Diceros bicornis minor: one gene and its partners. The protein of the gene in region 4 purifies or fractionates together with the protein of the main gene of each other region. This does not show direct contact. Links are inferred from orthologs where the notes say so. Each region holds a gene or a part of one and is shown on either strand. Other genes may lie near its edges.

Region 1 (7,604 bases), on a different chromosome or scaffold from region 4:
GTTTCCATGTTTTTCCCAAGTGACTTAACACTAATCCTACTCCAAAAGTTATCATTCATGACCAACCAGATTATATTCTAGACCTACTCTATGCTTTGAAAGAAAGCAGTTATGCAGAGATTGGCTCCTATAGCATTGGCCCTGGGCTAACATCCATGCCCATCTTCCTCCACTTTATATGGGACGCTGCCACAGCATGGCCTGACAAGCGGTGCCTCGGTGTGCGCCCGGGATCCGAACCCGGGCCGCCAGCAGCAGAGCACGGGCACTTCAACTGCTACGCCACAGGGCCAGCCCCTGTCCTTGAATTTTTATAAGGAGTTTTAAGTCTTGGCCTTCTGAATCTGGGTATCTTACTCCTAGAATAACAAATATTAGTAGGGGATGGGATTTGAAAATAGGTAACATGTGAACAGTATATAATGGCAACCACTGAAGTGATTTTTAACTATAAGGGTCAGCATTTTATGAAAACAACCATTGGACACCATCCTCTCCCCATAAAACAAGATGCCACATGCAATGGCATTTTGAAGCGCTATGCAAATGAAGGCCTTGTGTGGGCATACATACACTATTTCCAATTTTAAAGCTTTTTAGTCTCAAAAAATGTTAACCTGTATCAAGCACATTCGATTCCTTTTAGGTAAGGAGAGCAGATTCAATAGTCAAATCTGGGACACTTTCAGTTCTTGAAGGTCAATAATGGGTCATAATGGATACTGACTGGTATTGCTGCAAAGAATTTTTTGGTGTCATTTAACAGTAGAAGAGGCCTATGAAATTTTATCATGTACTTTCACTGAGAACATATAAGGTCTATTTTCAACAAGACACTGAGCATTATCAAGTAGTATACTGAAAATACACTGAGAATTTTATAGTCTCATCAATACAGCCACATCTGTGAATACTGGTCACTTGACAAAATCAATGCAATTGGAAGATTCAAAGTAAGGAAAGAAATTTGATAAACCCCAAGTTCCTCAAGGGCAGACCGTCAGATGTAACCTTCTGCTCAGACACTAGCGTAGTTCCCTTACACATAGTACACAAGCCAGAAAGATTTATGGAACCAACTTAAAGGACATGAGGGCTTCCAAGGGTGTAGGGTAAACATCGAAGAACAGGTGAAGGGGACAAAGACTAAGCAAACCACTTTAACCAGTGCAAATTTCACTCAACTCCGTAAAATGAAGGACACGGATTGCTAACATTATCTTCCACCTCTAAAAATTCCACAAAAGTTATGGAGAAAGGGAATATAGGCTTTTCACTAAATTATGACACTAAGCCATCAAGATGGCAAATCCAGGCCAAGTAAGTACTCTACTTCAGATGAAGCTTTCAGGGAGCATCCCAAATTTATGATGACATGGAAGCCAACTTTGTCATTTCCAAGTTGATAATGTAGAAGAGTCAAGAGTCTCAAAAATTTCGACTGGCAAGCAGTTTGACCTTGAACAAAATTTCATCTTCCTCAGCTGGGAGATACCACCATCTGCCTACATTATCTCACAGACAATCAAATAAGAGAATCAAATAAGACAATACATATAAAAGTGCTTGGTCAATTGTCAAGTGCTATGCCAATGAAGGGAATTAAGCTCAAATACACCTCAATTTCCTCAACATTTTCCAAAGACATACGTAATCCTTAGTTTCCTATGTAATAACAGAGAAGATACATTCTTGGTTAGAAGTGAGTGTCCAGAGATAGCAGGGTTCAATAAATGTTTTGTAGAATGCAGGGTCATGCGAGGAAAAAGAAACTATATCCCCAAAACTAAAACCAATGCTACGAAATCGTTGCACAGCTCACTGGTAAGCCTATTAGAAATGCAAATAGATTTGCCTGACAGTGACATTCCCTCTCCCGAAGAAGTCTAAAAAGGAAACCAACTCTAGCCACTAGTATTATTTTAAAAGCACTCTGTAGTAGTTGTGCAGCTATCTAAAAAAAGAGAGAGCTGAACTCTACCACTGGAGCTATCAAAATTCAACCAAAATGGAAGCTGTCAAGGGATTTGATCTTGTTCCCCATTGCATCTCCAACACCTAGAACCGTGCCTGGCATATAGTTTTCGTTCAGTAAGTATGTGTTGATTGAATAAGAAAAAAAGCCTACAAGAAATCTGGGTCTCCACCCTTGCTTCCTCTCCGCCAACACGTGGGCGCACCGCACTGGGTTCCCTACCCCCACCTAACTCCAGTAGCTTCAACCTCCAAACTTAACACATTTACCCTCGGGAGAACATAGGGACCAAGCCACCTCTAAAAGGGGAAGAGCAGAAAGTGGAAGGACACAAAGGAAAGCAAAACAGGCGCGGAACACCTCCCCATCTGGGCTCTCGCGCGTGCTTTTAAGGCGCGCCTGTCTCCACTACCCTGGCCTCTCCTACCGCGCACGCGCATCGCCACCTTCCCCCGCCCCTCCGCCGACTCGCGCTCGCGTTCTAACTGCCCCCCCCTTTATTCCCCAGCCCCCCCTCGCGTCCGCAACGGCCTCGCGCCTCGGAGACCTGGTCTGGTGTGCACCCGTCCGCGCGCCAACCGCCTCCTCCCTTTCTCCACGCCTTCCCGCGGGCACAGGGCTGCCCGTGTGTGAGAAGGCCTCACGCCTCCCACAGATCTCTCTGCGCCTCCTGCTCACTCCAACTCTAGCCAGAGCCCATCATTACTCCCCACTCCAACCTTGCGCACACGGGGTGAAAAGGGTGTGAGGGAGAGGGGAAGGTGTCCTTCCTCTCCCCCCAAAACATCCCGAGGCGATAACCTAACACGGCCAAGCCGCCAGCCTGCCGCAGCCCCAAAACCCGAAGGGAAGCGGTGCCGCCCGCTCTCCAACTCCAAGGAACCACTGGATCACGCTCGGAGAGTGGCTTCGGAGCCCGGTCCTTGGCCGCGCTCGGCCGCTCACTCACCTGAGGCCGCCATGTTGAGAGAGGGAGAGAGAACGCAAAGGACCCGGATGAGGCGATCACGTGATTATAGCGGGCCCGTCGGGCTAGGAGACGCGAAACTGGGAGGGGCGGGGCGGCGCTGCTCTGGGTTCGTAAAGCAGCGCGAGGAGGTGGCGCGGCGTCCGACGGGGAAGACCTGCGTGACATGTGGCCAAAGGGGTGGGGCCTGGGCTGTCGCGAAACCCCCACGCTTTACGTATGGCTACGCGCGGCCGAGGGGGCAGCTCTGAGCCCGGGGCGGGGTCTCTGATTCTCAGACTTCCGGCCGAGGGGTGGGCGGAAGGGGCGGGGTGGTGCTCGCTGGTTCTATTGCTCGGGGTCAGAATGCAGCGGCTGGAACCTGGAACGGGTGTGCTGCGGTTGATTCTCTGGAAGGGAAGATTCTGAGTTTCTTTCTTCCTTTTTTTTCTTCTTCCCATGTGTAAAAACATCTGTGGTTTATTTACTAAGTTTCTTTTAAAATCACTTTTCGTGCAAAACAAGCGCAATATCCTGCTTAAGGATCATTTTAATTGGGCATGTTTAGAAGGAATAAGTAAGTAACAAATACTGAACACTTAATTGCCGTCAGCTTTTACCTCGTTTAATCTTTCTTTTCAATGACTAGCTTTAGTCAGACTCAGGCCCGTATTTCACAGCTATCCAGCTAATGCTACATTTTATCATATATTAGTATTTCATGCCGTGAAAATTTTCATTGAGCACCTGCCCTGTGTCAAGCACTGATACTGGCTTTTTGGGTACAAGAGATAACAAAACCGCTTCAAAGGACGCTATAGTCCAGTGAAGGAAAGACGGGCAATATGCAGTGAATAAATAAAATGTTAGAAATGATAAGCACTCTGCAGGTAATCAAGGTGATTTGATAACAGGCGACTGGATGCAACTTTTGATTGCCTGGTCAGCGAAAGCCTCTGTGGAAGTAATATGTAAATGGAGATCTGAATTACAAATAGGCAGCCCTGTGAACGTCTTTAGGAAGAGCTTTAGGAGAGGGCAGAGGATGCACACTCAATTAAAAGCTCCAAGGCCGGAGGATCTTGGCAGGTTGAGGGATTTAAAGGATGGTAGCAGGCGGCCAGGTGGCGTAATGGTTAAGTTCTCGTGCTCCTTGTAGGCAGTCCTGGGTTTGTGGCCTGGATCCCCCTGGAACTCGGGGCACGGACCTACACAGCACTCATCAAGCAATGCTGTGGTGGGGTCCCACATGCAAAATAGAGGAAGATGGGCACAGGTGTTAGCTCAGGGACAATCTTCCTCACCAAAAAAAAAAAAAAAAAAGAGGACTGGTAGCTCGAGTATGGTGAGGGAGGGGGAGAGTGGTACAAGATGAAGCTTGAGCGATAGGTAGGGGTTGGATCATGTGAACTATTAAACCAGGTTTGGGAGTTTGGAATTTCTTCCATGTGGGTTGGGAAAGCATGAAAGGATTTTAGACAAGGGAATGTCATAACGAAGTAAAATTTTGAAAAGGATTACTTGGTATCTTGATGTGTTTCATGAGTGGATATTTATGTAAAAGTTCATCACATAGTACACTTAAGATTTGTGCACTTGGGCCGGCTCCGTGGCTTAGCGGTTCAGTGCGTGCGCTCCGCTGCTGGCGGCCCGGTTCCGATCCCGAGTGCGCACCCACGCACTGCTTCTCCGGCCACGCTGAGGCCGCGTCCCGCATACAGCAACTAGAAGGATATGCAGCTATGACATACAGCTATCCACTGGGGCTTTGGGGGAAAAGTAAAAAAAAAAAAAAAAAAAAAAATATTTGTGCACTTTACTGTATAGAAGTCATGCTTGAATTTAAAAACAAGAAGATTACTCAGGCTACTGAATGGAGAGTGGATTATACAGACGCAGTAATGGAAGAGAAAGACAGTTAAAAGCTCGTTGCTGCCAGGGTCCCATTGTGACTTTTCATGGACTCTAGGGACTTTTGTACCCTTCTCCATAAAAACAATATTGAAAATTATATTTTATGATTGTGCTGGTGTAAACGCAAATGTATTAATATGATACATTAAACCATTTTCTTTGACCTAAATGTTTATTTTTTTCTTATGATTTTAAAATAAACTAAAATATTTTTGTGGGCCTCTAAAAGTATGGTGGGGCCTAGGTACTGAGCCTGCTGTGCCTACTGGATAAGTTGGCCCTGGCTGCTGTAATCCTGGTGAGAGGAGATAGTGGCTTAGATATGAGTGTAGAGATGGAAAGAGAGAGATGCAGGTACATTTTGGAAGTAGACTTGGAGACTGATTAGATGTGAAGGGCACAGGTTTTGGCATGAACACCTGGGTGATGCCGTTTACTCAGAAGGCAAAGCCCGGGGCGGAGCAGGTTTGGAGAGAGTGTGTGGGCTCTGTTTAAGCCATATGAAACTTGAGATAGCTACTAGTCCAATGCTTCTCATATTTTAATGTGCTTACAAGTCACCCGGGCAATTTGTTAAAAGTCAGATTCCAATTCAGTAGGATCAGGGCGAGGCCTGAGATTCTGTATTTCTTCTGGTTTGGATCGTTAAAATGGAATGATATAGGAGAATTAAGAAAAAAAATTGACTATTGGAAACAGTAGATTTCGGAAAGTTCAAAGAAGAGCCAGATAAGGTAGGGACCTGTGGGGTAGGTAGAGACTTTCAGTTACTAAGCACCTAATATATCCCAGGGTCATACCAAGCACTAAACAAACTAGCTTATTTAGTCCTCACAATGGCCCTCTAAGGTTCATATTATTATTTTTAATTTTTTTTTTTGTGAGGAAGATCGGCCCTGAGCTAACATCTGCCAATCCTCTTCTTTTTGCTGAGGAAGACTGGCCGTGGGCTAACATCCATGCCCGTCTTCCTCTACTTTATATGGGACACCGCCACAGCATGGCTTGCCAAGCGGTGTGTTGGTGAAAGGTTCATATTATTAATCCTATTTTTGATAATGACTCTGAGGCTTGGAAACAGTAAGTACCTTTCCCAAGTGCACATAGCCAGCAAGTGGCAGAACTGCAGACCCAGAGCTGCCTGTCTTATCAGGTCCACGTTCTTTTCAGTTTCCCAGAGACTTCTCAAAAGTAAAGAAAACTGGGGCCTGCCCTGTGGCCTAGTAGTTAAGTTTGCGTGTTCCACTTTGGCAGCCTGGGTTCGAGGGTTGGGTTCCTGGGCGTAGACCTACACCACTTGGCGGCGGCCATGCTGTGTCAGCTGCTATGCTGTGTCGGCGGCTCACATGCAAAATAGAGGAAGACTGGCACAGATGTTAGCTCAGGGTTCATCCTCCTCAAGCAAAAAAAGAGGAAGATTGGCAACAGATGTTAGCTCAGGGTGAATCTTCCTCAGCAAAATAAATAAATAAATAGAAATAAAGAAAACTTAAAATCGCAAAATAAGTCTATGACAAGTACTTTGTATCATTTTTTCTGAAGAAATCTGGAAGAAATAAACTGTTAATTATCCACTGCTGTATAACAGATTACCCTAAAACTTACTGGCATAAAACCACCGACATTTGTTATCTCAGTTTCTGTGGGTCAGAAACTGGTTATTGAAAATCACTTGCCAAGGCCTAACATTTGCAGCGTCTCTTATATTCGTATCCTCTTTTCCATTTTCCTATCATTTCCCGTGTCATTTCTCACCCTGACCATGCGTCACTCTTCTGAGTCTTCCTGCCTGTAGTCTTTCCCTGCTTCAATACATGTAATAAGTAGCTGCCAGATTTATTTCCTAAAGCATAGGTCTGAACACATTCCCCTGCTGGCAAACCTTCCATGGCTCTCTGTGGCCTAGGCAGATACTCCAGGCTGTGGATATCCAGCCCCAGATTACTGGTCCACACTTATTTCCTACTATCCTCCCTGGTCTGCTACATTCCAGCCATGTATACCTTGTGCTTTCCTAACTTTGAGTCTTGTTTTCCTTTGCTCTTCGCTCTGCCTGGAGTACTCTGTCCTCCTTCACTGCCGAATGGGTCAACAATAAAATCTATCCTTCAAGGGCTCTTCAAACTCCCCTTTTCTAGGAAGCTTTTTCTGAGCTTCTTCCTCTGAGCCCCACCAGCGCTGTGCCTACACCTTCTTTTCGGCCCTTGTCACCTTCCTCCTTGAACTGCCTTCCCTCCTGGTCTGGTAGCTCCTGGAGGGCAGCATCCATGTTGATTATGTTTATGCCTTCCGTGAATTAACATCTGGAATATTGTTGGTGCTCGGTACATATTTGCTGGTGCTGAAGTAAGACTTTCAAGAAATTTACATTTATTGAGGTTTTCAAGAGGTTATACTGTATATTGACTTATATGCCTGGATTCATTTAGTGTTCATTACTGGAAAACAAAATATATTGCTGCTTTAAAGATGTGTATTTCTCCAAAATAAAAGTCTTTTCATCACAGTTTTGAATGTATAAGGTTAATTTTAAATATATATCTAGATTATCTAGGGGTTCTGTTTCTGGTATAGTAAATAAGTTCCCAATGGATTGATCCTTTTGTAGATAACAACAGTAAACTCTGGAAGAAGACAAACAAACAAACAAAGCCCACCACTATCTAAAAGCTGTGAAACAAAGACAAGCAGATTTTGGAGGGGAGCGGAAACTTGGAAAAAGGTACTGATGTGGGGTGGGCCAGCCCAGTGTGGTCCAGGGTGGCTGAA
Region 2 (7,676 bases), on a different chromosome or scaffold from region 4:
AACGAAGCGCTATATAGTAATGAAAATAAATGAAAAACAAATTACAGCTACTCACTCTAGAACAAACTAACTGCAAAATCACAGTGTGAGATATGCATATATATATATAACTTAAGACACAGGAGAACATATACTATGATTTAATTCAAATTTCATTCACATTTATTAATATAAACAGGCAAAGATAAACAAACTGTTTAGGAATACTCTGTGGTGAAACTATAAAGAAAACCAGAAAAATGACTGAAACAAAGCTCACAGTAGTGAGAATATGGTAGGGAGAAAGGATGGGAGGAAAAAATGAAATGGTGGAAAGGGCTTCAAAGATATTCGTAATGTTCTGTTTCTCAAGTTGAACGGCAGGTAATTGGATGTTTATCTTGTGGTTATTTAAATTATGCATTATAGACACTATTTTGCATATACATTTTGATACTTTTTACAGTTCTTTGCTAATGCTATCAATGATCTTTTTAAAAACTAAGTCAGGGAGCTGGTGGTGGCAGATTCTAACAGCAGTGACTTAAAGGAAAAATGGAAGACCACAAACATAGATGATTCTCTAAACATTGACTTCAAAAGGGAAAAAATGGAGACTAAGAACGGAACACAGAATGCTAAGCAAAAAGAGACAGAGCTGAACATTTTAACATGGGAAAGTCCTGACAATGTTTATATATTAAGAAAAAGGTAATATTAAAGATACAGAAGAATTGATGAAACAGGGCCAAAGGTAGGAAAGGAAAAGTTCAAGAATACAAGAAGAAAAATTGGTCCTGGCCACTATCAAGGTGCCAGGAACAAATGTGATTAAACATCAGGCTAACCAAACAGTCCTGTGCGGCTGGAATGTACAGTTCCTATGAAAGTTGGAAATAGTAGGAAATAAACCTAAACACAAAAGCAAAGACAACATCTTGGTGGGCCTTGAATTCATCGCAAACTCACTGAAAACACGTCAGGAAGGAAGCTGACAAGATCTGAACTTTCATATTAAGTGAATGTTTTAATAAAAGTATGAAAGATGGACTGAAGAGAGCTAAGAGAACAACACAAAATGCCATTAGAATAATCTATAAAAGAAGATACCAAGACATGAACTAGGAACAGTACAAAAATAAAATGAAATGTTATTCGTTCATTTATCCTATGTCAGTTAACGGGTTCAGTATGGAATATAACAGGTGAAAAAGCATAGTCCCTGCCTGCCCTCAGTAGCTTACATCCTGGTGGGGGAGAAAAACAAGAAAACAAACAAGACAGTTAAAGGCAGTGAAAAATGCTATGAAGGAAATATAGGGTGGTGTAATGGAGAGTGGTGGCAAGGGGTCTACTTTTAAGAAGGTTGTTAGGCAAGGTCTTTCTTGAGATGGTGGCATTCAAGCCGAGACTTAAAAGATCAAAAGAAGCCACTGAGAAGGAAAAAATATTTGAGAGAGTATTTCAGGCAGAGAAAACAAAGAACTGAAAGGTCATTGTGACTGGAGCCTAGAAAGAAGCATGAAGTGAGTTTGGAGAAAGAGACAAGAGTAGCAGGACCTTAAACTGTGGTAAGAAGTCTCTATTTTACTGAAGTGGACATAGCAGGTGGCATATAAATGCGAAGCAGCTAAATTTGATATATTTTGGAGGTGGAACCGACAGGATTTGCTGAGGGACTGGATGTTGAGGATAAAAAACAAGAACAACTGTAGGTTAATACCTAGGTTTTCGAACTTGTTCAAATGGATAGATGGTAGTTCCACTTACTAAGACAGGAAAGACTGAGGTAAGACCAATGAGGGGCAGAGAGGAATGAGGGGGAGAAGTCAGTAATTTTATTTTAGACATGTTCAATTTGTAATTAAGGTGCCCGTAAAATAGCCAAATAGTGATGTCAAGCAGGCAGCTGGGTACTCAAGAGCAGCATTCAAGAGCCAAGTCTGGCCAAAAGTATAAATCTAGGAGTTATGAGAATATAAATAATATTTAAAGCCACCAGAAGGGACGAGAATACCTTAAAGACTACTCCGATAACTACTACACACAGTAACAACAGCTAAGATAAAACGGTAGCTTACTATGTCTCAGACGTTGTTCTAGTTATTGACACATATTCAGCCAATTTTAATCCTCAAAACAATTCAGATGAAGAAAAGAATGTACAAAGAGAATAAGTAACTCGCCCAACGTCATTCAGCTAATTTGAGAGCTGAGATTCAAACCATGCACTCTGGCTCCAGAGGTGTGCTTTTATACTTTGTTGCGCTATGTCAAGCAGAGACTAGACACAAGGAAGCAGAAAGCCAAATCCTTGGGCACGCCAACATTCACACACACGGAAAGGAGAAACCAACATAAAAGACGTTCACTGCAATCATGCGGTTTCACGTGTAGCGCTGACACACAGCCTCAAGAGTGGCTACAAAGTAAATCTCCATTTGGGAAGTTCGAAATGTCAGATTCCAGCAGAGAAGCAATAAAGTTTCCCTTACTCTCCCCTCGCAAAAGCCCTAAACTCGAACCCTAGATTCTTCCCTTCACCTCCGTCACCTACTTGTCTCCAGAAGTCTTTCTCCAAAGCCCCTCTCCCAAGCATCTCAAAACAAGATCCCAAGAATCTGTCACAACCCCAGCCCCGATCCCCTTTCTCAGCCCTCACCCCCCACCCCGAAGGCAGCGAAGGCTGTCACGTCACCCGAACAAAATGTGAAGATGAAAGAGGAGAATTTTAGGGGAAAACCTTGGCCCAGCCTCACTAAGCCCAGAGAAAAAGCTGGCTGGAAGCGCGGATAGCGGGACTGGGCTGGGAACTGCGCTCCCCACGTGGGCCTGGGGAGACAGAACTCCACTCACCAAGCCATCTATCTGCACTTGCTTCACGGCCGAATCTCCGGAGCCGCCTTTGCCTTTGCCTTTCCCCGCCGCGCCGGTGGCGGAGCTGGAAGAGGTGGCAGCAGAGCCGGTGCCTTCCTTGCGGGACGCCATCTTTCCAGCCGGACAGGAAGAGAGAGAAACGTGAGTAACCGGAAGCGGAAGTACAACGTCGCTTGACGACAAGCGCCGCCCGGCGATCGAGGGGCTGAGCTGAAAGGAAAGGATGACTTGGAGCCCCGCCTCCCTTCTTTTTTCTAGCCTAGCCTACGTCGCCGAAGGAATCCTTTGCGCATGCGCAGTGTGCGCTTGCGACTGGTCCCCCGTTGAATGTCTTAAGAAAAAGTAGACTTTTTAAAATGTTTTCTATTTTATGTTTAGTCAGTGTCCGTTAGCCAGTTATCATAATAGCATTATAGCTCGTATTTCTCTAGCGTCTCATGCGTAAAAATGCTTTCACTTCTAATTTTTTTTTTATTAAAAAAATCTTGTAAACTACGAAGGGCTGTACTAATTTCCATTACACGTGTTAGGAAACTGTGACGTGAATTGTCCAACGTCATTCTGTTCAGTAGTGGCGATCTGATATTGCAGTTTGTCTTATGTAATTTTAGTTAGCGGTCTTTAGAGACAGATTACACAGAAATTAATTAAAACATGGGAACTTTAATAAGCATCCCCAGAACTAATAGCCCTTTCTTGCTATTAGGTTCATGTAGGATTTACCTGAGTAAAGTACCAAAGAAGTCATTTTATGTAAAGTGTTGAAGGATGATGCAGAACGTATTCCCTAAAAATCACACTGAGTTATGATGTAGGTTCTCTGAAATATATGTTTCAAGTCTTTAAAAGAATACTTAGCTTTAGAAAACCATTTTAAATAAGGGATTTAAAACATTCTTTCTCTGCTTCCAAATGACATTTTCTCTATTCTTCACTTTTGAAACGTTTACTCATTCAATAAATATCTATGCAGAACTGACGAAGTGGTTACACCAAGGAAGGGCATATCCGGCTCTGAAGTTTTCTGTTGTTTTTGTCGGTGGTGTCCTGTGTTGTATCATGATCTGGGAACAGAAAGAGTTACACCTGACAAATTCCTAATGATACAAAATAAAAGGTTAATATCCGTTCTTTTCCAGTGCACATGAATATATATCAAAATAGACCACATCCTGGGCCACAGTAAAGACTCCACAAATTTAGAAGTATTGAAGGTTGATTGTAGTAGAATTTTACCACAAATCAGTAATAGGAAGATAACCAAAAAGAAGAAGAATGAAAATCCCTCCTGTGAGAACCAGAGCTGGAGGCCTATCATTGGGTAGCTGGAATGATGAGCATCAGAAAACACCTAGGTTACTTACAAACAATAATAAATTTACTAATTGCTTTGTCCTACAACATATATAATATAGTTTTGTTTCAAAATTACAATGCCAACATTACCACTAATAAAACTACTAAGTAAAGTTTAAAATATCTTGGCAATTTTTTGTCCTTAGAAATACTCTACTATGATTTTTCAGTCATGTGAACTAATCACATTACAGGAGTTCTTTTAATCTGAACCAAGATAGTGCATGTGGGCCCTCTGCATGAAGCATCCCAGAGCCAAGAGGTAGAAATACAGAGAGAGAAAGAGAGAGAGAGAGGGAGATAGAAGACTCATGAAGTAGCATTTGAAATAGGAAATCAATATGATCACCCTAACTAGAAAGGGCCTAGAAGCAATGACACTTCCCTCACTTGGATTCCTTGTTTCCTTTCTGTCTCACTGGCTGCTCCTTTCTTCTCAGTCACCATTGCTGATTTCTCAACCCTTCTCCAACATTTAAATATTAACAGCGCTAGAGTGCAGTCCTTGTACATCTTCATTCCCTTATCTTTACTCCCTATCATGGTGATCTCATCCACTCTCAAGGCCCTAAAGACCGTGCATAGGCTGATGATTCCCAAATGTATATCTCAGAGGTTCAGACCTCTCCACTGAACTCCACACCAGCATGTCCAATGCTTATTCAGCGTCTCCACTTAAATGTCCAGCAGGCACTTCCAACTTAAGCTTTCCAAAACTGAGTTCAAATACCACCCCTCCTTCCCAAAAAATGTTCTTCCCCCAGTCTTCTCTATCTCGTTTGATGACAGCTCTATTCTTCTAGTTGATAAGACCAAAACCCTTGGAGTCATCTCTGACTCCTCTGTTTCCCTCATATCCTATGCTGATCCATCCTATACGCTCCATCTTAAAAGTATATTCAAAATCCAGACTTCTTCTGGGAAGATGAAGTAGAAATATTTTTCCCTATTCCTCCCAGAAAGTACCACTAAACCCCTGATTTATAAAGCAAACAAAAGAAGACTCTGAAAGGTGTAGAGAAGAAGGAATACTGGCTAGGCATGTTGGGACCCAAGGAAAAACACACTGGTGGTTTCCCAGGTTTCTGTATGTATCCATATATACCCCAGACTTGGAGCTGAAGTCCAGCGGAAGCTGACGTCCAGCAACCTGGAACACCATTAGGCACAGACCAAAAAAGCTCTAACAAAAGTCTATTCACTGCGCTCTGTCAGTGGAGACCAAGTGAGGAGACTGAACTTCCACCTTTGCTGGACAGTAATGAGGCACCCATCCACTCCACCAATGGAATGATGTGAGAGAAGGCCTAGTGGGGAGTCAGGATTTCACCACAATGGTTATGAGGCCACACACTCGGTGGTGTCAGTGAAGGTAACAAGGAGTGCAATAATGAGGCCCTCATCCCCCTCCCATCCAGGAGGTATCAGTGGAGGCCTAGTGGAAGCTGGAACTCTGATTATGTATTTAATTCCCAAGGAATTGTATTCCATCCCTGAGGGAATCAATGGAGGCTGAATGTGGAACTTCTATTTGTACCCTCAAGGGGCAGTAGCAAGAAGGAATCACCTCTCATTCCATTGCTAGAGCTGTGTCAGAGGAAGCCAGCTAAAACAGAAGGTCTCAAGATCCAGAGTTCCATAGCAAAATACCCAAACCTCTATGTTTCAATTAAAAAATCACTCATCATCTCATCAAGAAACAGAAAGATCTCAAACTGAATGAAAAAAGACAATCAATAGATGCCAACACTGAGATGATAGAGATGTTAGAATTATCTGACAAAGATTTTAAAGCAGCCATCATACAATGTTTCAATGAACAATTACAAACAAACTTGAAACAAATTTTTAAAAAGTTTCAGCAAAGAAATTCAAAGTCTCAGCCAAGAGAGAGAAGATATAAATAAGAACCAAATGGAAACTCAGAACTTAAAAAATACCACAATAAAAAATAAAAAACTTGGGGGGCCAGCCCAGTGGCGTAAGCAGTTAAGTGCACGTGCTCCGCTTCAGCAGCCTGGGGTTTGCAGGTTCAGATCCCGGGCGCACACTGACGCACTGCTTGTCAAGCCATGCTGTGGTGGCGTCCCATATAAAGTAGAGGAAGATGGGCACGGATGTTAGCCCAGGGCCAATCTTCCTTAGCAAAAAGAGGAGGATTGGCAACGGACGTTAGCTCAGGGCTGATCTTCCTCACAAAATAAGTAAATAAATAAATAAATAAATATAAAAAAATTAAAAACTTGGGCCAGCCCCAGGGGCCTAGTGGTTAAGTTCAGCATGCTGTGCTTCGGTGGCTCAGGTTCGGTTCCCAGGCACAGACCTACGCCACTGATCAGTGGCCATGCTGTGGCAGTGGCCCACATACAAAATGCGGGGAGACTGGCAACAGATGTTAGCTCAGGGTGAATCTTCCTCAGCAAAAAAATAAATTAAATAAATAAATGACCCAACAGATGGGCTAAACAGCAGAATAGAAAGGACAAAGGAAAAAAGTCAGTGGACTGCAGATGGAACATAAGAAGTACCCATTCTGTACACAGATTAACAGAATATAAAATGGTACAGCTGCTGTCGGAAAGAGTATGGCAGTTCCTCAAAAAATTAAACATATAATTACCAAATGATCCAGCAAGTCCACATCTAGGTATATACCCAAAAGTTTTGAAAGTGGGGACTCAAACAGATATTTGTACACCAATTTTCACAGCAACATTACTCATAATAGCCAAAAGGTGGAAACAACTCAAATGTCCTTCAACAGATGAATGAATAAATGAAATGTAGTATATACATATTATTCAACCTTAAAAAGAAATGAAAGTCTGATATATGCTACAACATGGATGAACTTTGAAAACATGATGTTAAATGAAATAAGCCAGACACAAAAGAACAAATATTGTACGATTCCACTTATATGAAGTACTTAGAATAATCAAATTTGTAGAGAGAGAAAGTAAAATAGTGGTTACCAGGACCTCGGGGGAGGCAGGAACAGGGAGTTATTGTTTAATGGGTATAGAGTTTCGATTTGGATGATGGAAAAGTTTTGAAGATGGACAGTCTTAGTGTTTGCACAACAATGTGAATGCACTTAATGGCGCTGAGTTGTACATTCAAAAAGGGTTTAAATGTTAAATTTTATTTTATGTATATGTTACCACAATATAAAAAAAGTAGACTAAAAAAAAAATGAACAGAGCCTTGGGGAACTTTGGAACTATAAGAAAAAAATGTAATAATCCTGTCGTGGAAGTCTCACGAAGAGCAAAGAAAGACAGCAGGGATTAAAAGGTATCTGAAGAAATAATAACTGAAACCTTCCCAAATAGGAGAAAAGTCATAACCTACAGATTCAAGAAGCTTGAGCAAACTCCAAACAGGATACATCCAAAGAAATTCACACCAAGACATATTAGAGTCAAACTTCTGAAAACCAAAGAAAAAATATTGAAAGCAGC
Region 3 (7,653 bases), on a different chromosome or scaffold from region 4:
AATGGAGCACTGCTCACAGTGGACTGCAATATACCTGTTTCCCCCTCGGAATATGCTCCTTCACAGCAAACACCCGCTCTAATTTCCCTGTGTCCCCAGCGCCCAGCCTAGACCTGGCACAAAATTGGGGACTCGGTAAATATTTACTATATGGAGCAGCTTTCATAGGCTCCCCCGTCTTTAGTTGCAGTTCTTTCCCCACTGCTACCTGAGCTTGCTAAAACTAAACACAGACCACCACTCTTCCCTGCTCAGCAACCTCCACAGCATGCCACGTCCTACAGAACAAAGCCAAGCTCCTGAGTTTGGCACTCAAGGCCTGTTCTGGCCCTAGCCTGCTTCATCTTCTCCACTGACTATTTCATCCCTCAAGCGGGAACTCCTGCCAGATCATATGACCTGGACACGACACTTGCCATGCTTTCATTCCTGCATGTGCCAAAGTGATGACCTCTTTCTCATCCTTTAAGCCCCAGCTCATATGACATTTACCTTGGGAAACCTTTCGGGCTGCTCCCATCCCCCTGCCAGGCAGTCAGTCGCTTCTCTCTGGCCTTCCACCGAGCTCTATGCTTCCTCTCACATGGCTCATTATCTTCCTGCAGTGCCTCTTTTCTCATCTGTCTTCCTTATTTTCTTATCTGTCTCTTGTTCCCTAGGCTAGGAACCATCTCTGGATTTATTTCTATTTCCCCAGAACCTGTTCACTTAAACAGTACACTGTAGGTCCCCACTGTGCTGAAAAAGTGAATAGCCCAGGCTTACCTGTTTCACAGTCCCAGAGACGACAGCTGTTGTCAGCTGAGCCAGTGAGGACATGCTTGGTGTCCCCTGAAGAGGGTGTTAAGAAACATGACTGAGTTCACCTGAGCCCTTGTCCTCTTGGGAGCCAACTCAATCATCTCCCTTTTCAGCCCCAAAGAGCTTTTCTTCTTCTCTCTTACCTCAGAGGTTTCTCACCTCCTCATCTAGAACTGGAACTTGTCCTGAATCTTCCCCCAATCAGTGAACAAAGGGAGTAGGAGGCTTCATTATCTAGACCCACAAGAGCATCCCAAACTCCCAACCTCCAACTCAGCAGCTTTTCCATTGCTGGCAGACCCTGGGAGCATAGACTCAGGGCCAAGACAAGGATACAGTCAGCGTCCACACACCACACAGCTCCAGTATGGCCCATGTAGGTGCCCAGCCTCTCACCATTCACGGAGTACCATACATTGACAATCTGGAGGGGTCAACGACAATGTGACAGGATGGTACACAACCCAGGCAGAGCAATAGCCTCCTATTTTGCCCCAGGAACCCTCACCAGCCTCTAGCCAGGCCAGATTCTGCTCTCTCCTGCTCATCTCTTGGGAAACAGCAGGTTGCTGGTAAAAAGACCAACTCCTGGATTCTCCTCCTTCCTACAGGTAAGCGGCAGAGGAGTCAGGAGGCTTGCAAAAATGTCTCCATCTGCCACTGTCCCAGCCCTCCCCCAGACTCCTAAGCCCTCAGAAGAATAAAAGGTCAAGTTGAGTGCCAGTCCAGAAAAACAGTAGCTTTGGTGTCCTGTCCAAGTGGGAGTACTTGGTAGTAGGGAAGCCTGGGGAGTCCTTGCTCTGCCACAATCTCACTGTATTATCTCAGATACAGTGCTTTTCCCCTCTGAACTTCAGTTTGCCTATCTGTAAAATAGCCATGACAATAATGCCATTTTCAAAGGGTAGCTGTGAGGCTCCAATAAAATGATTAAGGAATTTAAAATATAGGTGACTAACATTAATTAGGCACTCATACGCACCAGGTGCTAAGCTCCTTACTTGAATGATCTCATTTAATCCTAAAGACAATGCCATGGAGGAGGTACTATCAGTACCCATATTTTATAAAAAGGGAAACTTGAAGTTTATAATTTTATTTATTTATTTATTTTTCCCCAAAGCCCCAGTAGATAGTTGTATGCCATAGCTGCACATCCTTCTAGTTGCTGTACATGGGACACGGCCTCAGCATGGCCGGAGAAGCGGTGCCTCGGTGCGCGCCCGGGGTCCGAACCCTGGCTGCCAGCAGCGGAGCGCGCGCACTTAACTGCTAAGCCACGGGGCCGCCCCAAAACTTGAAGTTTAGAAAGGTTAAATGACACACTCAAAGTCACATTGCTAGTGGATGCAGGGGTCAGGATTCAAATCAGGCGTTTGGCTTCCGCATCCCCACTTTTACCATTAGAGTTAACTTCATCCATGGGGAGGTGCCTCAAAAGGCGGTGCTGTGAGGGCCTGTTTACAATCAGTGAATGGCAGGATGGGGCCCAGAAGGACTGACTGAAATGAGACCAAGGACACCTTTATTAAGTCCTCTGTGTCCCTCACCACCCAAACATCAGCTTTCCCCTTCTAGAGGTGGCTTGTTCCCCTCTCCAGGTAGAATAGTTTTGTTCTCCCCCAGAGTGGTCTCCTCCTGGTCCCCTGAACGAGCTGACCCTTGTCCCCGTCCTCCTTCCACAATGGTCTCTTGCTTTTCTTCTCCCCGGCTACTCCCTCTTTCTACCAACAACTGAGTTCTTTCCCACCTTTCCTGGTAGAATGCTCTCTCCTACCTACCCCCAGGATGGTCTCTCCTTACTTCTCAGAATAGGGCGCTCTTTGGTTCCCCTCTTGCGGCAAAACTCGCTTGTCCACCCATCGCCCTCCAGAATGAACGCGCCCCCTCCAGAGGCCCTCCGCATGATCCCGCCAGCCCGCCCTCCAGCCGAGGCTCACAGGGTCCTTGGCCACCGTGAAGAGGAGGTCTCCCTCGCGGTTGTACTTAATCTGCGTAATGGACCGCTCATGGCCCTGGAGAAGGATCGGCTTCTGTGGGGACAGGACGGGAGAGTCAGCGCCCAGAACCGGCCCCTGTCCAGACCCGGACCCCCAGGGCAACACCTCCAACTCAGGGGAACTTACCATCGCAGCGGTGACGCGAGGAGAGCGGCAACGTGAGTAGAACCGGAAGAGGCTTTGCAGCGGCTTCCGGATTATGGGTCCCCGCCCCTTCGTTCCCGGAAGTGGAAGGGAGCGGCGTTGCCATGGCGGCGTCTCTCGGTGGGTAAGGCGCCCCGCCCCACCATGGCTTACCGCCCGTCTACGGCCTTCAGTTTCCACCTCTGGAGTTCGCTTCCTACTCCACGTCCACCTCCACCTCCACCTCACCCCGACTCTTGCTACAGCCCCAAGCCCCGGGCTCCTGGATTCATCTCCCCGGCCTTCCGGGGTCTGTCCTACCCGCGAATCGCACCCGCAGCGTCGGAGAGCGAAGGAGGGAGGTGGGGGAGGCTAGCTGGGCATAGGAGGCCGGGAGAGGGCCGGCCGGGATGGGAGGCCGGATGAGGGCTGGGCCCGGCGGGCGGCCATTTGGGGGTAGGGAGGGGTCACTCGCATCTCCATCCAGGGCAGGTACTGGCCTTGGTGCTGGTGGCCGCTCTGTGGGGTGGCACACAACCGCTGCTCAAGCGGGCCTCCTCCGGCCTGCAGCAGGTTCATGAGCAGACCTGGGCCCGGCAGTTGCTGCAGGAGATGAAGACTCTCTTCTTGAATACTGAGGTGCGTCTGTGAATGGCCCCTCTCTCGGGGATAGTGGCTAAGAGTTTAGTCTCCTGAGTCAAACAAGTCTGGGTTAGAATCTACACCCCACCACTTACTCGCTAGAAGCTCATGGACAAGTTACTTGTTCTTCTTGAGACTCAGTTTCATCATCTGTAAAATGGGAATTATAATGGTAACCATTTTATAGGGCAGTTGTGAGGATTAAGTGAAGTGAGTTACAGGGCCTAGTACATAAGTAGTGCTCAGCCTATGGCTGCTATTATTAATATTTTATTATTGTGATCCCTCCAGTAGACCTTTCCAGAGCGAGGGCTTGGGGCCCAAACTGGCCCTGGGGAGGGAGTTTAAGGAAGGATATGGAGAACTCCCTCTGACCCCAACACTGCCAGTCTAGGCTAGTGGAAAAGACAAGACATGGACACAACCACCTCTCAGGGCTAAGGGGTATGAGAGAGGTACAGATAGTTCAGAGGAGGGAGGCTGGAGTTAGGGGACTTGGGAAAAGCTTCCTGGAGGGAGTGACATTGGCACTCAGGGACTTGCAGGATAGGGGGTATGGGAACTAGGAGGGCTGAGGGAGGGGGCATTCAGGACAAAGGCATGGAGTTCAGTCAGTAACTTTCCCTCTGCCCTGGAAGGGTCCTTTTCAGAAGGCTCAGTGCTCCCTGGGCCCTTATAGCTACCCCTCCCTCCAAGGAAAGGCATATCCAGAAGCTCAAAGTAGACAGTGCTGCTCAGTCAAGCAATCACACTGACTACAGATTTCTTCTGTTTTCAGTACCTGATGCCGTTTTTCCTAAACCAGTGTGGTTCCCTTCTCTACTACCTCACCTTGGCATCAACAGGTGGGTCTCTGGCTTAGAACTGCTATGCTTAGTGGTGGAGGCCACCTGGAAGAGTCACTTTGGGGAGGGAGCCTGAAGCACCTTGTTCCCATGGGTGAGGGAGAGCCCACTGCCTCTGGTTCCCTGTGCACCGCCTTCTCTGAGCAGAAGGAGCACAGGGGGCTGGTTGTGAGTATGCTGCCAGGCACTAGGCTTGGTTTGAAGCCTGGCAGTCTTGTGCAGCAGCAGAGGAAGAAGGAGGGTTCACTTTGCTGTGTCAAGGGCTGGCTTTGATGCTCTTGCTTCCACTGCATGCTACCTGCTTGACCTTGAGCAAGTCCCTCATGTGAACCTTGGTTTTATACGACTGGCTTCATAGCATTGAGAGGATTAAATTCAGTGTATGAGAAGCATCTAGCAGAGTACCTGGTGCACACTGTAGGAGCCCAATAAATATAAATTTCCTTTCCCCCATTGTTTGTTGACTGCCCTCTACTGCATCAGATACTGTGCTAGTTTTACACATTTTATTTAATTCTCATCGTGACCCTGTGAAGGACACATGATTATCTCCATTTAGGAGATGAAGTTACAAAACTTTGGGCAACTTATTTCATCTCTCTTAAGTCCCACAGCATGTCAGTGCAGAAGGGTTTGAAGCCATGTATTACTTAAAGTTTATGCTCTTTAACTTTGCTATGAGAAGTCTCCCTGTGGTGGCTTCACCTCCTCTGGAGTCTCACCCAGGCCCTCTGGGGACTTGAAGGGAGTTTGGGCCCCAGATAGCTCTGGGGAACCTCTCAGGCCATGGGTGGGCAAGGGGATAGGCCAGTCTCCAGACCTGCTGTGTCAGCTTCAACTAGAGTCACTCCACTTTCATCTGTTTTACATTTTGGGCTTCTCATAAGACTTCATTTAAAAGAAAGTTTAAGGGCTGGCCCAGTGGTGTAGTGGTTAAGTTCGTGCACTCTGCTTCAGTGGCCTGGGGTTTGTGGGTTCGGATCCAGGGCACAGACCTATGCAGCACTCATCAAGCCATGCTGTGGCGGCATCCCACATACAAAATAGAGGAAGATGGGCACAGACGTTAGCTCAGGGCTAATCTTCCTCAGCAAAAAAAAAGAAAAAAGAAAGTTTGAAAGACTTGGGCACTCCCTGCTACCCAAGAATGCTGAACCCTCTGGCCAGCTGACTGCGGTTGGCCATTTACCAAGTTTTGGGCAAATGGCAATTTTATGATCCTGTTATCTCATCACCTACTCTGCCTCTATCCTTTAACATCCACCCATTCTAATAATCAGAACAATGGTTACTATTTATTAAGCATCTACTTCAGCCAGGGACTATACAGGCATTGTCATATTTCATCTTGCAACAACCCTGTTGTAAGTAGATGCTGTTATCTTGCTATCACTGTTTTACACGTGGGGAGCGGGCTCCGAGTGTTTGAATGAGCTAACCGAGACTACACAGGGACACCCAGCTCTGCCTCTCCAGTGCCCTTGCTCTTCCAGTGCAGCATGCTGCTTCCCTCCCCCATCTACCATTGTAACCCAGTCTTTAGCAGCCATGGCATTTGTTGTAAGGCATGTAAGCTTAAGGAAGCAGGTCTGAGTAGTAGGAGTTGTGTCAGTTTCTTGGATGGGTAATGCCAGCCATGGTAGGGCCTCACAGGGGATGAGGAGTGGGACAATTCTCGCCTCCACTCACTACCTGAAACAGGTGAGGCCTGGGAGTGCTGGGAAAGAACTTCTTGAGGAGCCAACATGAGCATCCTGGTCTCGCTGGCAGTTAGGAGTTTTGTAAACAAGTAACTCAGCTTCTGATTTATCCATTAGTTTTTTTTTTTTTTTTTCGTATGTGTGTGGTAAGAACACTTAACATGAGATCTACCCTCTTAACAAATTTTAAGTGTATAAAATTTAAGTGTAACACATTTTAAGTTAACAGAGTTGTTAAGTCTGTTAGTCTTTTTCAAGTCTGTTTATTGGGAGTCAGTCACTCGGAGCTTCAAGACTAAGGAGCAGATCCTGGGCTCTGGTGGCCTCTCCCTAAGGCCCAGCCCTGTGGGGCCTGTCCTGAACAGGTACCCGGCCTCCTCCTTCTAACATTCTTTTTTCGTCTTTAACTCCATAAGGCCCAAGCCTGAGCTGAAACAGAAACAAACTGTGCTTCTCCTTCTCTTTTGGTTTGTCCATATCCATTTAATTCGATAAGGGCACAGGCTTGGGAGTCAGGCAGACCTTGGTTTAAATCCTCAATTTGCCTCAATTTATGTGACTTCTTTGAGCCTTTGTTTCCTTTATCGATGCAAAATGATGACAGTGCTGTTCTTGCAGTGTTGTTGTGAAGAGTCAATGAGACATGGACACAAAGCGCCCAGCACAGAATATGTGCTTAGTATGAACAGTGGCTGTGCTTCGTGTCACTGCACTCATTCTGCTGCATCCTTTGGGCTTTGGGTGCCTGTCTGTCCAGATGTGCTTGAGATCTCAGGAGCTCTCTTTGAGTGCAAAGACCTCATCCTTAGCAGCAAACCAGGGTGGTTCCAGACTTTGTAGTTCAGATTTTCATGCTGGAATCTTGAGGGAACATGGAATTTGGAGTTAGGAGACCTGGCTTTGAATCCTGAGCTTGGCTGTGACTTCGTCTGGGAAATGGAGTCCTGAGATACCGTTTTTTAAAAGGCTGTCTTGATGATGAAATGAAAGTGTTTTGTGCTTCGAAAGGCATTTTTGCATCTCAGAGATTCTTTTCATTCTGCTCACTCAGATCTGACCCTAGCTGTGCCCATCAGCAACTCTCTGGCCATCGTCTTCACACTGATTGTTGGGAAGGTCCTTGGAGAAGATATTGGTGGAGAACGTAAGTCGGGCCACTGCAAGTGTGGGAAGCAGCTACTTGGGCCTTGATACCCCTGTTTTGGTTCTTTCTCAAAGCCATGTCCCATGGGTGGGGGAGGAGAGGACCTTCTCCGATCCTGCCCCTTTCCTCTGCAGCTCTCCTGCTTCCTTGGGGCCATCAGAGTTCCCTTCCCCTGGACAGTCTGGGGACACACCCCATCTAAGCCCTTCCCTCAGCCCTGTACCAGCTCCTGCTGGCATGGCTGGGCTCAGAGCCTCTTATTTCTGCCCATTACCGCAGGAGCATTCGCAGGCATTGTGCTCACCGTGGCAGGAATCACCCTCTGCATCACAAGCTCAGTGAGCAAGACCCAGGGGCAACCATCTACCCTTTGAGTGGGCCGACACCACCCTCCAGCT
Region 4 (7,841 bases):
TGTTTAATGAGCCAAAACAGAAGACATTTAGTTAAAACTTTTATCATATATCAGTTTGACGGAGCACCAAAGGCAGTTGAAAAACTGAAAGGATGACTAATTGAGATGCAACTGCGCGACAGTGCTTGTTACTGTACACAGGGCACGATCTGCTCACTGAGAGACAAAAGCCAATCGTCAAGAGGCAAGATGGTGGCAGAGAAAGGGTAGTTTATAAGAGCTTGCTAGCAAGGGAAAAGATGGCTGACTAATGTCTCAAAGCACCATCTTACAGAACAAAGACTACAGGCCAGTTATAGAGAGGGCTGGTCTCCAGGTGTGGGAGGCATCTGGTCTCATGGTAGGGACATCCCTCTGATCTCTAGGCGGGGCATCTGGTCTCAGGGTGGGGGCATCCATCTGGTCTTAGTCCCTGGCAGTCTTTTGTTTTACTGGATATGCATCAGAGACTGGAGCAACGCCCTGTACCCTAATCTTTCAGCTGTCACTGATGATGGCTATCAGCAGAGTCTCTGCCCAGGGATCACCACATTTCTAAGGAACTCAAAAGAACAAAGTTATCAATTTATAGCAGCTGGGAGGGGCCATAAAATCCAGAGTTAGTCAGAGATCATTCAAAGTTACAATATGGCTTCCCTTATGTCAACCTCGTGTTGAGCTGGTATCAGTGCTGATCTGTCTCAAAGAATGAGGCAAGATGACTTTGTGGTGCTTATATTGCACCCACGAGAGGGCTTTTCAGGAGACTCAGTCCATTTTCAAAAGAACCCTTACTGCCTTCTGCAGTGCTCTCTGACCCCCTACTGGGCAATTCTCACCCCACAATTTGTACTTGAGCTACTGACCATAACCAAGTAGCCTCAAGAAAACTGACAGCTGGCCTGCTCAGTTTTAGTTCCTTAGGACCAGGAGCTTCACAGCTCACTCTGGTAAAAATATGAGGATCACAAAGGCTCCCAAAGGCCCTCCCAGCAGTCACCTAGCCTGGCTGGCCTATGCTCATTGCAGCATCCTCTGACTGCCACACACTCCAATTCTGGAAATAATTCACATGCTAGAAATCTTGTATGAATTAGATGTGCTCAAATAATGCTTTAAAAAAATCAATCACAGAGTAAATACTGAAGAGCTCAAAATAGGCTTTAACATCAAAACTTCGATTTTACAATACAATATAAATTGCTGCGGTAAAAAAGAATGCTGGTCTGGGCAGCAGGATGGGGAGGGGGTGTCCCAGCGACACCGCCTCCCTGTGAGTTCTCAGCAACCTACCTCGCCATAAGGAACACATTTCCTCTTGGCTGAGGGGCTTCCAGTCCGTGGCTCTCAAGTCTTCACTAGCTTGTGGAGCCTTTCCTGCTTTTCATGCTAAAATATCTTTTGTCTTACGAAATAATGTACGCTAACAGCGACAGTAACAGGTAGCTCTTTAAAATTATGTTTAAATTAAAAGTTGACAACTCTGTGTTGGTTCCCTAAGTTTTCTTTCTCATTTTACTTGAGATTCTTTATAATTCAGACTCAACTTCACTGTGATCAGACACAATATCTCAAAAACACATCTACATCTCGATATTGTAACATCTTATTTTCTTGGTGTATTACTGGCTATTTCATTGATGTTTTATTTATTTTTCCTATTTTACTACAACAGTCAATACACAAAGGAACCCACTGATGTGCTCCCAGCTTGCAGAATTCAAATAGCTAAAAAAAAAACATACACGAGTAAAAACAAATGAGATTAGCTATCACCAAAAGTCACTTTAGAAGACAGGCTTTCTCAGGCAGGAAGCAGAGGTACTGCCTATAAATTGAATCAATGTAGAAAGGAAGGCAAAGCAAGCTACAGTCGACAACACTAAACCCTGAGATCTGCCAACACAAGAATGGCGTCTGCCTACACTGAGGAAAAGGGATAACCAAACAGGTGGCTGGCAGAGTCGGCCTGGCACTGTCCTACTAAGAACTCTCTGGAAGAAAACGCTTCCGTGGGGCAGCGGCAAAGGAACCAGCTCTGCCATAACCTATTCTGAGGATAGCGTCCCATCTGCCCCTAAGAAGCCGGCACTAAGTCACTTTCAGACATTTGACAGGTGTGGCTGTCATTCGAGGCATCCAGGCCTGTTGAGGGAAAACTGTCACCCGAGACTGTGCAGCACTGGAGTGTCCTGTTTGCTCGACCCTAATAGCCACACCACTGCCCACACGGCCACAGCTCCTGCGTGCACGCCGTCCGCCGTCGCCACTCCCCGAATTCCCGGTTAGAGTGCAAATAACTGGCTCCCCAAGCAGTCTCCATCCTGTCCCCTCTTTTCTTTTTGGAGAGAAATGAAAGCACCCAGGCTGTCACAGGACACCTTTCCTACGTGAGGGACGACGAGTGGAGAATGGGGACCTCCATGCTGAGTTCCACGGGGCAAAGCCCCTGGTGGGCTCCAAGATGCGCGGTGACCCGTTCCGCGTTCGGGGCCTCGGGAAGCTCCGCGCAGACAGCCACACCGCCTCACCTTCCTCGCTCACGTCGTCCACAAAGTCCTCGGGGTCGCTGAAGGAAGGCTCGTCCGCGCCGGCGTCCTCCGCCGCCCCGCCCTGCTCCCCGCCCGCCCCCTCGGACCCGGCCTCGGCCGCCGCGTCCTGGGCCTGCTCCCCCGGCGCCTCGCCCGCGGCCGGGACGGGGGCGGGGGGCTCCTCGAGCGGCGCCGCAGACGACCCGAGAGCCGCGCCGGCCGCTTCCTCCCCGTCGGCTGCGGGCTCGGCTCGCACGTCAGGCCCCAGCCCAGTCTCAACCTCCGCCGCTGCGTCCTCGCCGCCCGCCGCCTCCTGCGCGCCGGCCCCCGCGGGCCGCGGCGAGTCCTCCCCCGGCGGCGGCTCGGAGGCCGGCTGCTGCTGCTGCTGCTGCTGCTGCTGCTGCTGCTGCTGCTGCCCGGGCTCGGCCCGCTGCTCGCCCGCCTCGGTCGCGGCCACGTTCTCCGCGTCCTGCATGGCCCGCCGCTACCACCTCACCTCGCCCCGCCGCGCCGCGCTTCCGACTCTCCCAGGTCGCACTGCGCGCCGACCGCGGGCCATGTGCGTGCGCGGGGCGTTCCATCAGACTCGGAGCGGGGGTGGGCCGCCCACGCCCTGACTCCTGACAGCGTGGCCAGAGGAACAAAAGGGCAGCATTGTGTCCACTGATGATTACGATAACGCTCGTGTGAGAAGCACGTGCGAAACTCCAATCACCAAAGCGCCTCTGGTGTAACTACAAACTCATGGGGAGCTCGAGCTCCCCCATTTGTGGGAGCGGGTGGTTCCGTCCAACATGGCAGCCAGGCACCTCCTTCTCCCGTCGGGCGCTGCGGCGAAGGACTTAACTATTGGTGACGCCGCAGGGAAGGAGCAGAAGGTATCTTGGTATACGGAACTGCAGGAAAATATGTAACTCAAAAAGTAATACTACAAGAAACTGTAAGTTCAACCAACTATTTTTATTGTGATATCTTTAGCCTCTCATCAGTTTAGCTTACATTACTAGGTCCCCCCTTCACGTGTCGGTGTTTAGACTCGTCCACTGAGTGGGCACATGGATGGACGCTTCCAAAACATAAAAGGAATTCTCGGCCGTTGAGCCGGAGATGGACAACACGACTAGGAAGACGATTGCCTGGCACGATACGAAAATGAATGAGAGCTGCTTTAATCACTTACGCCCAAGCCCACCGTGGCGGCTGTAATTCCACCTCTCCCCGTTCTCATGGTCGCCGTGGTTCGGCCCACGGAGGCCTCCGCTGGAGCGAGCGCGGGTCACGTGGGGGCGGGGCGGAGCCAGCCGCGGGGGCGGGGCCGGCGCTGGAGGGTGGGTTTCGCTCTGAAAAGGGTGTTCTGTGTTTGTAGCTCCTATTTTGGTGGCAGCCGGTGGTTGTGGTTCTGGGGGAGGGGAATGGGGAATTAGTGTTTAATGAGTGCAGAGTTTCAGTTTGGGAAGATGAACGAATTCTGGAGATGGATGGTGGAGATGGTGCACAACAGTGTGGATGTGCTTAATGCTGCTGCACTGCACACTGAAAAATGGCTAACATGGTAAGTTTAATGTCATGTATATTTTACCACAATTGAAAGAGAGAAAAAAAAAAAGAACTAGGGTTCTTAGGTTGCCTAATACTAGGTGTGAATCCTCCTCATCTTACTTTTCAGCCGTGTAACTTTGGGCAAGTCTCCTGGCATCTCTGCCTCAGTTATCCCATCTGTAAAATGAGGGGTAACTCATTTTGTGTGCGTGGCCTGTGGACCGCCTTCACCAAGGCAAACTGATTTCTCCTAGAAGTCAAAGTTATGCTCTTGATTTCTAGTTGTATCTGCAGTTTTCATAGATCATTGGGCTATGCTACCCCTTCTCTTCTAGAAGGTGCTAAAGGTGACAAATCAATGAACAAGAAGCAAATATTCACAGAAAAGCTGGAAAACAGGGGCTGGCCTGGTGGCATAGTAGTTAAGTTCGGGCGCTTCCCTGCGGCAGCCTGGGGTTTGCAGGTTCAGATCCTGAGTGCAGACCTGCACACTTCTCATGAAGCCCCATGCTGTGGCAGCGTCCCATATACAAAATAGAGGAAGATGGGCACAGATGTTAGAGCAGGGCCAATCTTCCTCACAAAAAAAAAAAAAGCTGGAAAATAGTTGACCTTCATTGGCCAGCTGCATGTTTCTTAGGAAAGACTTTTGTGGCATGCATGTGTTGCATAGAGTAGCCACTCATTACTATTTCCCAGTGAGGGGAAAATTGTATCCTTTAATGCAGGTGAAATTGTGTTGTGCTCATGATGCAAAAAAAAGAAACGTACATTTTCAAAATATATTTCATAGTGTTCTAGGGAGAGGACCAAGATCAGCAGTTCCGCTATCCTCAAATGCCTGAGAAGCACTGTAATTGATACTCAAATTATAAGTGCCTAAGTGGGAGGTGCTCTGCATTGGGGATACAGTGGTGAGTACAGCATGTATGATTGTTGCCGTCTTAGAATTGCAGTGTAGCAGGGGCAACATTCAGGAATCAAAGCATCACAGATGTGAGTGTAAAAGTGCATCTGTGATAGGTTCATAAATTCTTTGACACGCTTTCTTTCAAAAGGGGAAGCCAAACCCTGCTCCTCTGAAGTGTGGGTGGACTTAGTCACTGGCTTCTCATGAATAGCTTGTGGCAGAAGTGATGCTGTGTACCTTCCAAGTCCAGGTCCTAAAAATGATATGCTTGGGGCCGGCCCGGTGGCGCAAGCAGTTCGGTGCGCGTGCTCCGCTGCGGCGGCCCGGGGTTCGCCGGCTCGGATCCCAGGCGTGCACCGACGCACTGCTTGTTGAGCCATGCTGTGGCGGCATCCCATATAAAGTAGAGGAACATGGGCACAGATGTTAGCTCAGGGCCAGTCTTCCTCAGAAAAAAGAGGAGGATTGGCATCAGATGTTAGCTCAGGGCTGATCTTCCTCACAAAAAATAAAATAAAATAAAATAAAAAATAAAAATGATATGCTTGCTCCCGGTTCACTCTCTCTCGAATCACTGGGTCTGAAAGAAGCTGGCCACCTTGTCCTGAGGACACTCATGCAGTGTGTGGAGGCGCCCCAGTGTGGAGGAACTGAGCTCCCCAGACAGCATCAGCACCGAGCTGCCAGACATATGAAATGGAAATGGATCCTCCAGCCCCAGTCAAGCCTTCAGATGGAGGCAGTGCCAGCCCGTGTCTTGAGAGAGGCCTCAGGAGAAACCAAACCTGCCAACACCTTGATCTCAAACTCCCAGCCTCCAGAACTGTGAGAGAGAAATTTCTGTTGTTTAAGCTGCCCGGTCTGTGGTATTTTTTTTACAGCAGCCTGAGCTAACTAATAGCGTAAGTAAAATACATAGAAAAAGGCCTAGAAGGATACACGCTGAACTGAAAAAAGTGTTTGATGAAGGTAAGTAGTATTGGTAGTGTTGGTCAAAAAAAATGTTAATTATAGATTCTAGGTGGTAGATTTACTCTTCACTGTAAAATTCTCTCAACTTTTGTGTATGTTTGAAAATTTTTATAATAAATTGTTGAGGGGGAAGGACTCAGGAGCCAGCTTTAAGAGGCCCCCCACTGCAACAATTTGAGCCTCAAAAAGAATAAAAAACTGCATATGATTGACATAAATAAAGTATGTTTAAATCCATTAGTTCATAATGCTGTTAAAAAAAAAACATTCATCACTGGTGACTCTTGCTGGGACATTATCTCATTGTTGTAAAGACAAAAGACTCTAGCAAAAAATAAGTAATCTTGCCTCTCTTATTTTACCTTATATTTTAAGGTAACCAAATAGTTGATTAGGGATTGTCCTTCTTTATTGAAGAATTCTAGCTAATACATGCAGAAGGATCAATAAAATTGGAGAGGCAGCATTCTGCAACCCTTGTGAAATAAAGATCTAAGCAATGGTCCTGCAACCGGTGGATGAGAGGTTGATAGGGAACCGTGTGATGGAGGGAGCAGAATGACACCACCTGAGATTAAGGCTGTAAATTTCCCTCTACATGCTACTTTAGTTACATCCCACAAATTATAATACGTTGTATTTTCTGTTGCAAGTGTTTTCTAACTTCCATTATGATTTTTTCTCAGACCCATGGATTATTTAGAAATGTGTTATTAATTTCCAGATGTTTGAGGATTTTCCAGACATGTTTCCAAAATTGCTTTCTAGTTGAAGTCTGTTGTGACTGAAACATACCTTTGTATGATTTCAATCCTTTTTAAAATGTATTGAGATTTGTTTCATGGCTAAGAGTGTGATCTACCTGGGTGCACGTTCCTTGTACACTTGACAAATGTGCTGCTGCTGTTGGGTGAAGTGTTCAATAAATGTCACTTGGGTCAAGTGGATTGAGAGCTTTGTTCAAGTCTTCTGAAACCTTACTGATTTTCTGTCCACTTGTTCTGTCAGTTGGCTGAGAGAGCAATGTTGGAATCGCCGGTTCTGATGATGGATTTGTGTATTTCTACTTTCAGTTTTATCACTTTTTTCATGTTCTTTGAAGTTCTATAACAGGTGCATACACATTTAGGGTTGCTTTGTCTTTTTGATGAATCGGCTGCCTTAGCATTTTAAATATTCCTTTTTATTCCTGGTGATGTCCCCTGTTCTAGTGTCTACTGCTAGTACAGCTAACCTCCAGCTTTCTTTTAATTAGTATTTGCCTGGTGTTGTGGTTGAATTGTGTCCACTAGAAAGACAAGTCCAAGTCCTAAGCCCTGGCACCTGTGAATGTGTCCTTATTTGGAAATAGGGTCTTTGCAGATGTGATCAAGTTGAAATGAGATGATATCAGATTAGAGTGGGCTCTAATCCAATGACTAATGTCCTGTGAGAGGAGGGAAATTTGGACACACAAAAACACAAAGAGGAGAATGCCCTGTGAAGATGGAGACAGAGATGGGGGCGATGGATCTACAAGCCAAGAAATATCGGGGATTGCTGGCAACCACCAGAAGCTAGGAGAGAGGCATGAAATGGAGTCTCCTTCAGAATATCAAGAAGAAACAAGCCTGCTGACACCTTGATTTCAGATGTCTAGCTTCCAGAACTGCGAGAGAATACATTTCTGTTATTATAAACCACCCAGTTTGTGGTACAAATTACAGCAACACTGGGAAACTAATATATATGGTATAAATTTTTTATTCTTTTATTTTTAACCTATAAATAGCTTGATATTTAATGTGGATTTTATAGATAGCATATAGTAGGATCTTACTGTTTTAATCCAATCTGATAATGTCTGTCTTTTAAAGGGAATGTTTACATTATTTATATTCAGTATAATTATAATTCTGGTTGGGATTAAA

Evidence for each region.
Region 1: the proteins of EIF3B (region 4) and EIF4B purify together in Homo sapiens (affinity purification with mass spectrometry; 3 studies listed by BioGRID and IntAct, with this or other methods). This does not show direct contact. The link is inferred for Diceros bicornis minor from reciprocal best matches to the Homo sapiens genes EIF3B and EIF4B.
Region 2: the proteins of EIF3B (region 4) and EIF3H purify together in Homo sapiens (affinity purification with mass spectrometry; 10 studies listed by BioGRID and IntAct, counting the BioPlex papers as one, with this or other methods). This does not show direct contact. The link is inferred for Diceros bicornis minor from reciprocal best matches to the Homo sapiens genes EIF3B and EIF3H.
Region 3: the proteins of EIF3B (region 4) and EIF3I purify together in Homo sapiens (affinity purification with mass spectrometry; 12 studies listed by BioGRID and IntAct, counting the BioPlex papers as one, with this or other methods). This does not show direct contact. The link is inferred for Diceros bicornis minor from reciprocal best matches to the Homo sapiens genes EIF3B and EIF3I.

The regions. Positions count from the first base shown.
Region 1 is NC_080756.1:17,197,982-17,205,585, forward strand, and holds the start of EIF4B (eukaryotic translation initiation factor 4B), read right to left. Parts: upstream 3,009-7,604; 5' UTR 2,938-3,008; coding exon 2,925-2,937; intron 1-2,924. UniProt on the Homo sapiens protein: Required for the binding of mRNA to ribosomes. Functions in close association with EIF4-F and EIF4-A. Binds near the 5'-terminal cap of mRNA in presence of EIF-4F and ATP.
Region 2 is NC_080760.1:33,255,598-33,263,273, forward strand, and holds the start of EIF3H (eukaryotic translation initiation factor 3 subunit H), read right to left. Parts: upstream 3,005-7,676; 5' UTR 2,968-3,004; coding exon 2,836-2,967; intron 1-2,835.
Region 3 is NC_080752.1:47,009,180-47,016,832, reverse strand, and holds the start of EIF3I (eukaryotic translation initiation factor 3 subunit I), read right to left. Parts: upstream 3,001-7,653; 5' UTR 2,960-3,000; coding exon of another isoform or gene 2,931-2,959; coding exon 2,928-2,930; coding exon of another isoform or gene 2,835-2,927; coding exon 2,742-2,834; intron 1,226-2,741; coding exon 1,138-1,225; intron 832-1,137; coding exon 766-831; intron 1-765. Other genes in the region: TMEM234 (transmembrane protein 234), read left to right, coding at 2,800-2,959, 3,412-3,563, 4,345-4,411, 7,163-7,255, 7,535-7,629. UniProt on the Homo sapiens protein: Component of the eukaryotic translation initiation factor 3 (eIF-3) complex, which is required for several steps in the initiation of protein synthesis.
Region 4 is NC_080765.1:12,217,450-12,225,290, forward strand, and holds the start of EIF3B (eukaryotic translation initiation factor 3 subunit B), read right to left. Parts: upstream 3,002-7,841; 5' UTR 2,986-3,001; coding exon 2,511-2,985; intron 1-2,510.